Linked DNA regions of Xenopus tropicalis. The protein of the gene in region 2 purifies or fractionates together with the protein of the main gene of each other region. This does not show direct contact. Links are inferred from orthologs where the notes say so. Each region holds a gene or a part of one and is shown on either strand. Other genes may lie near its edges.

Evidence for each region. Proteins that work in one complex are often made in the same cells at the same time.
Region 1: the proteins of prkcq (region 2) and chuk purify together in Homo sapiens (affinity purification with western blotting, with the first as the bait; 3 studies listed by BioGRID). This does not show direct contact. The link is inferred for Xenopus tropicalis from reciprocal best matches to the Homo sapiens genes PRKCQ and CHUK.

Annotation. Positions count from the first base shown.
Region 1 is NC_030683.2:110,586,110-110,589,767, reverse strand, and holds part of chuk (inhibitor of nuclear factor kappa-B kinase subunit alpha), read left to right. Parts: intron 1-938; 5' UTR 939-988; coding exon 989-1,093; intron 1,094-2,117; coding exon 2,118-2,212; intron 2,213-3,658.
Region 2 is NC_030679.2:84,173,420-84,177,177, reverse strand, and holds the start of prkcq (protein kinase C theta type), read right to left. Parts: upstream 2,748-3,758; 5' UTR 2,667-2,747; intron 1-2,666. UniProt on the Homo sapiens protein: Calcium-independent, phospholipid- and diacylglycerol (DAG)-dependent serine/threonine-protein kinase that mediates non-redundant functions in T-cell receptor (TCR) signaling, including T-cells activation, proliferation, differentiation and survival, by mediating activation of multiple transcription factors such as NF-kappa-B, JUN, NFATC1 and NFATC2.

The DNA of each region.
Region 1 (3,658 bases), on a different chromosome or scaffold from region 2:
TATATTTTTAAATCAGTGGCCCAAAGTCATTTAACTCTTTAAATCATTAGACACTAATGCCACTTTGGGGCCACTTTTCCTGCCCAGAACTATTTTGGGCCAGGCTGGAACAAGCTGTACATTATGTACGGAACCCTGTCTATGAATGTATACTTTTAAAACTGTCGCCCAAGGTCATTTCTTTTAAACACTAGTTACTTATTCACTGACTGAATTAGAAACCAACTTCAAGGCACAAATAAGAAACTGGCAGAATAAGAAACCAAATTCAACGCTGTCCAGTCTCGGACTGGCCCACCTGGATACCAGGAAAACTCCCAGTGGGCCCAGGCTTTCAATGGGCCCTCCTGCTCACTCAACCATTTGCCTTGTATGCCTATACCATGGCCATTACTCAATTCTATATGAGAAGAAACAAAAGAAATAGAGGAAAGGATAGATAATACTATGTAAAAAGATGTATTTAAGAAATTAAAGAAAGTGAGTAAACAGTGAAGGAAAAGGGGTCTGGAGAGTGGGCCTTAGGTCTAAAGGTTTTCAGATAGGCCCTTGGCACCCCAGTCCAACACTGACTGTCCCTTACTTATAGATCAGGCTGGAGTTATTTCCTATTACCACTAAAATCTCTATTGTTTTCTGTAAATTGGTTACATTGCAACTTCTGCATACATATCCTTATGCAATAACCTAGGAATGAGACACAAACAAAACTATTTTATTACAACTTCAGTTAATGTAAGGAGGCCATAGATGCTACAATTACAATCTTTCCCACTACTGTTGGTCTTTTTCTCCAATTGGGAAGTGCAATATCCTGTCTCTTAAAGAGTAGGCCCCCTTATGTAGGGAAATGTTAACCACTTGGATGAATGTACTGTAAATCTGGAGTATGGAACTTGGGTGGTTGCAGACTTTTTTTAATTCTGTTGTTGTGACAGGTGACCAGAAGCATCTGCAAAACTGAAGAGAAAGGAAGAACGCTGTGGTTATGGAGAAGCCCCCAGTCCAACATGGAGCTGTTTGTGGGCCATGGGACATGAAAGACCGCCTAGGAACAGGAGGTTTTGGAAATGTTTGCTTGTACCAGAATCGGGTGCGTAAGAAGGAAGCTTGATAAATGCATGGGGGCAAGCATTAAATATAATTTTTCTATACAGGTATTAAAAATCCGTTATCCTGAAACCTGTTATCCAGGAAGCTCTGAATTACAGAAAGGCCATCTCCCATAGATTCTATTATAATAAAATAATGAAAATTTTTAAAAATGATTTCCCTTATCTCTGTAATTATAAAACAGTACATTGTATTTGATCCCAACTAATATAGAATTAAAATTATTATTAGTAGATGTAAAGCAATACTGTCATAGGAAAACATTTTTTTTCAAAACACATCAGTTAATAGAGCTTCTCCAGCAGAATCCTGCATTGTAATCTTTTTTCAAAAACACAAACAGATTTTTTAATATTTAATTTTCACATGGGGCTAGCCATATTCTTCATTTCCCGGGGTGCCATAGCCATGTGACCTGTGCTCTGATAAACTCCCCCCCCCCCTTCCCCACCAGCAGCCAATTGGCTACCTGTCACCTAGATATCAATAGTAAGAAATCCAAGTCCGGCTTGGGACTTCTCCTGTTACATGGGAGTAGGAGAGACAATAGGTTACCTGAAATGTGTAGCGCTGGCTCCTTCTGAAAGCTCAAACTCAGGCCTACACACCAATATTACAATTAAGAAAAAATAACATTTGTTGGGTCAAAAATAAAAATTTTTATTATTTGCTACGTAAACAGTGTAATTTAGAAGTAAGTACAATAAGTACAGAAAATCATGACAGAATATCACAACTAAAATTTACATTTATTATTTAAGAATAAAATTTTAAATGGTAGAATGAATGATTGAAGATGAAGGAAAACTGCACAAGTGCTTAGAATAGCACTCTCATCAATTTTACATTCACTTACTTTAAACGATTACCTATCCTTTAAGATTAAGCTGTAGTGCATACAAGTATTTAGACAGAGGATCTGGGGCAAAAAAAATGCAATAATAAATACAATTTGTGGAAATAAATGTGAGAAAATGCACTTATTGTTTTTCCTACCTCTGCAGGAAACAGGAGAGCTGAAAGCCATCAAATCCTGTAGGTTGGAACTGAGTATGAAAAACAAAGAGAGATGGTGTCAAGAAATTCAGATTATGAAGAGGTTTGTTTTTAAGCACATTTTCTTCCATGTTTATATTTTACTGACGTAATTCAAGGGATATTGGGCCTGATTCACTAAAGTCCGAAATAAGGAGTGCTATTTATAGCATGCGTTAAAAATCTTATCACTTTTTCGCTCGATTCACTAAAAGGACACTTGTCATAATTAAGAAGCGATGTTCTTGGCGTTATTTATCTTACGATGACATATTTTAATGAAAAAAACTATGCGATAAGCGTTATAGGGGCCGATTCACTAAAGGTCAATAACGCTTATCGCATAGTTTTTTTTATTAAAAAGCATGCGATAATTAAGTACCGATTCATCAAAGTCATTTCGCATGTGTTAATCCGCATATCGCATGCACAAAAAAAACGCATTGCGTTAATTAGCGAATAGAAATAGTACTAACGCATGATTCACAAACACATATAGGGCCCGATTCACTAAAGTCCGAAATAAGGAGTGCTATTTATAGCATGTGTTAAAAATCTTATCACTTCTTATTTTTCACTCGATTCACTAAAAGGACACTTGTCATAATTAAGAAGCGATGTTCTTGGCGTTATTTATCTTACGATGACATATTTTCAAGAAATATATTACGCAGTGCACAAGATATTACGCAGCGCGCGATATTTTACGCAGAGCGCAATATATTACGCACGTAACCATTACTTTCTGAAAACCACCAATTCCCTGAAAACTGGAGGCTGCATCACTCTAGGGCCAACATATACTTGAAAAAATACGACTGCAAACTCCATGTTGTGTTGCCAATAGCTCACGAACCGCAATTTTCTTTAAGTACCGCCTGCCCCAAGTAGGGTTAATATTCACACAGATTAACACAATATTTTGCACGTTTAACGCTTCATATGTGTTTGTGAATCATGCGTTAGTACTATTTCTATTCGCTAATTAACGCAATGCGGTTTTTTTGTGCATGCGATATGCGGATTAACACATGCGAAATGACTTTGATGAATCGGTACTTAATTATCGCATGCTTTTTAATGAAAAAACTATGCGATAAGCGTTATTGACCTTTAGTGAATCGGCCCCTATAACGCTTATCGCATAGTTTTTTTCATTAAAATATGTCATCATAAGATAAATAACGCCAAGAACATCACTTCTTAATTATCACAAGTGTCCTTTTAGTGAATCGAGCGAAAAATAAGAAGTGATAAGATTTTTAACGCATGCTATAAATAGCACTCCTTATTTCGGACTTTAGTGAATCGGGCCCATTATGTTTGTTTATGTCCTACAGTAGTAATTTAGTAAATTTAAGGCCCCCTGTATACCCCATTAATTTCCCCACTGAGACTGAGAGCAGAAGTACAATGTGGGAGCTTGACACAGTTTGATTTTAGAAGGTGCTCTCTCAATGCAGCGTAATAACAATTATTCAGAATTGTTTGTGAATTTATATTATCGTCA
Region 2 (3,758 bases):
AGTGTAACTTTTTTTTTTGAAAAACCAGTTTTATATACAGGTGTGCACAGCTGCAGTAGTAATGGAAACTGGCATTTATTGCTACAGAGGGAAAGGCCTGAATATGCAGACTGATATCAGTTATCCACAACAATGGTCAGCAGTAGGTATTTGGAAGGCTGTAATTGTTGAAAAGGACAATGGCACATGGGGCAATTATAAGTGATTTCTCACCATGGCAATTTGTAGCTCCATGAGGAGGTGATGGAGGTGATGAAATGCTAGAAATTGCCCCCCCCATTCAAGTTTATCAGCAGATGTTTGGGTGGATTTAAAGATTTTTTCCATTGGAGGTTGGATAAGATTTTCTAAAAAGGTGATTTTTGGAGATATACTTAAAAAGTCATACCCCTTTTTAACATTAGCCAAATTAATAGAATAAACATTTTGTCTATTGTTTTAATTAAGAAATATCTATGGTTTTTGTTATTTCTGGCACAAAACAAGAATATGAAGCCAGTTTCACGCCTGCCACTTCTGGTCCCAAAGAACTTCAGGAGCTGATAAAACTAAAATAATTAGCTGCTCAAAGGCTGCTGCTTAGAGAAGGTATGGGATTTATAGATTGAGAGCTTTGAACAAATTGCCCTGTTTATAAAAGATGGGGAGGGGAGTTCAGTGAAAATAGCCCAACTTTCAAATTAGTGCTTTATAATGGCAAAAATATTGATATTTTAAAATTTAAACAATAGGCAAAAAGGTCCCCTTTAATGTGCTCATTTTTAGCAAAGGCATTTTTAGGTGTATACTGTCCCTTTAAATGGTAGGAAGCTGGATCAGGCTTACAAAGATGATTATACGCTATTGAAACAGGGAACTATTTACGTTTGATTTGAGGCCTGGTTTCCCATTGTTTTCATTAAGATGTATCAATTCCTTCATCTAATTGGTGTTATTAACAGTTCTGCATCTGTGTATGGGGCTATTTTTTCATTATTTTAATCAAGTCCCATCAATACAAACAGCAAGGTGCAAATAAAAGTTTTACAAATTTTTCTAATTACTGGTAGGAAAGTAATTCTGTGCAACATTGTTTTCTGCGTAATATTTTGCCTTGATTTGTTCAAATGGTATTCATCTAGAGTGAATTACCAATAGAGACAGTGAGGGCTTATTTATTAAGAGCCAGGTGCAAGTTTAAAAGCAGTAAGGGCCATTCATTTGTCACTCTCAGAGCTCTATATACAAAGTGCTAGCCCCTAGCCCTATGCAGCTTGGAGAACAAAGTGCTGACAGGTGCAAGAGAGCAGAGGCGTGCCAAGCCGACCGGGCGCCCTAGGCAACCCGGTCGGCCAACTCCGCCCACCTCCCTGCGATTAGATCGGTCATTGCCTCCGCCGCTAATGACAAGCGGTGGAGGCAATGACAAAGTAGCACAAAGTAGCTCCTGCCTGGCGCCCCTCAATCGTTGCGCCCTAGGCAGCTGCCTCTTCTGCCTACCCCTAGTTCCGGCCCTGCAAGAGAGTCCTGTGTGTAAAACCTGCCATAAGCCTGTGGTAAGGAGAAGTCACCCTAATGTCTTGGTTCCCCTGACACTCCTAGTTCTGAATGATGTGCAAGCTTTGGGATGTACCAGGGGTACCCAAATACAGGTAATAAGGCATACAGAAAAAGGCACATCTCTTTGGACTTAATTCTGGGTATTCAAAAAATGTCCACTGTAGTAAATCAACATAATCATGTAACGTAATTCCCAAAAGGTTAATCAGTTATCATATAATTTTGGAGAGGCAGCCAACATCTAAATGTATGGACAGTTGTGTGTACAGTACTTTTTTCAGTCAAAAATTTTCAGACCTACTAATCCTAGACAATTCCCACATAACTGCACAATACCTGCCAGTTCAAAACAATAAATACATTGCACACCATATGTAAGAAATAAAGCACCATATTAAGAAATAAAGCACAGCAAACACCAATTAGCTTCATGCAACACAAATGCCTAATATAAGCCATAGTATTAAAAATATAATGTCTTCCTTGCTTTCTGATGTGTTTAATTTTTTTCTTAAAGTCATCACCATACATAAGAATTCATTGACATTGGCTTTAGGGACAAAAACTAAAACAAAACATGAAACAGTGTAGAGGGACAATAACTAAAAGAAACCATGAAACAGTGTAGAGGTGCAATATACTCATTAGCTTGCCCTTCCTTTAAAATACACATGTAGATAAACTGTGCAGACAAAAACTGGTACCTTATCAGTGGGTCATTGTCTGATGACAATATACACATACACATTATGTTGGGAAACTATCCACAAGCAACACTACAGAATGGTTTTAAAACTTGATACAACTTTTGTATGTTATACCCTCAGAGCTGGCTAGGAGAGCACTCAATGTGCAATAAAGCCTGCATTTATCATTTTTTTCACTGCACATATGTTGAAAACACTAGCAATCTGTATATGGGTGAGTGCTGAGCCTATTAAAATGTAGATAACAGCAGAAAAAGCACAAGTACTTGCATAGTAACACTATCAGAAAAAAGGGAGTCTGACTCTAGCCTCCAGTAGATATCAACAACATGTAAAACAAGTTGATAATTAGATGATTTTAAATGGTACTTTTGTTCCTATCTGGAAGAGTTGAAAGAAGTGAGATGAAATGAAAAGTACCTTGACTCTGAAGCAGCAGTAGCCAGTGACATGTGTATCAGAACCCTGTCATCTCGGTACAATGCCAGTGCTCTCAAGCTTCCGTCTCCTCCATACCACAGCCACTGCCTAAGCACGCCCCTGCACACTTTAACTACTTCACGCAGTGCTCTGTACAGCTCATTGCTCTGCCCATGCATGTGAAATAAACCATACACTGGTCTGAAATGAAACTTGCAACCAAAAACGCATAGAACATTCTGCACTTTACTTTTACCTGATGTTTTGCTCTAAAAACAATTGATCATTATCAATGTAATTCAGACAATGTACAGTTATTTTGGGTCGCAACTGTTTTTGTCTTTTTTGTAATTTCTTAAAAATAAGGTTTTTCAATCACCAGGCATGGAGTAACTTTATACTTTTAGCTGTATATAATGCTGCCTTCCTATGTTGGTGCAGAATATAAAATCTCAATACTGTCTCCGTTACTGTTAAAATTACTAGTAAACTTTTAAGTTTTTAAGTAATCACTGATTTTTTGGGGGTTGGTTTAGGAGTGGCTATGTAATTTGAAGCTATCAGATCAGTTGATCTATGGTAGGTCTAGTAGTCATAGCAACCGACCAGATGCTTGCTTTTAAAGAAGAATGAAAGGTACAATCAGTGGGAGATGCCAACATTTTAGGCACCCCCCAGTGATTGTAATCACTTACCTGAAACCCCAAGTTGGTGCTCTTGTTAGCGAAAACCTGCATCGACCCAGGGTACCAGAGAGCAAGTGATCCTCTTCCTTTTTCTGTCTTCACTGCTTGCTCATGCACAGTAGAGTAAAAAGCCAAACGTGTTAGTACTGTGAATTTAATTTCTGTGCTTAACAGAAATTAAATTTAGGATCAAATCTTCTCTAAATTTCATACAATTTTTCTATAGTTTGACTGAAAAATCCATGCACATGTCTGTGGGGGTCAGCCTTGTTTGTTGGTCAGCTTAGGGCAGTCAGTTTTAGTGGAAAAAGAGGGTTAAGCACAGAAATTAAATTCACAGTACTAACAAGTTTGGCTTTTTACTCTACTGTCCATGAGCAAGCAGTGAAGACAGAAAAAAGAATAT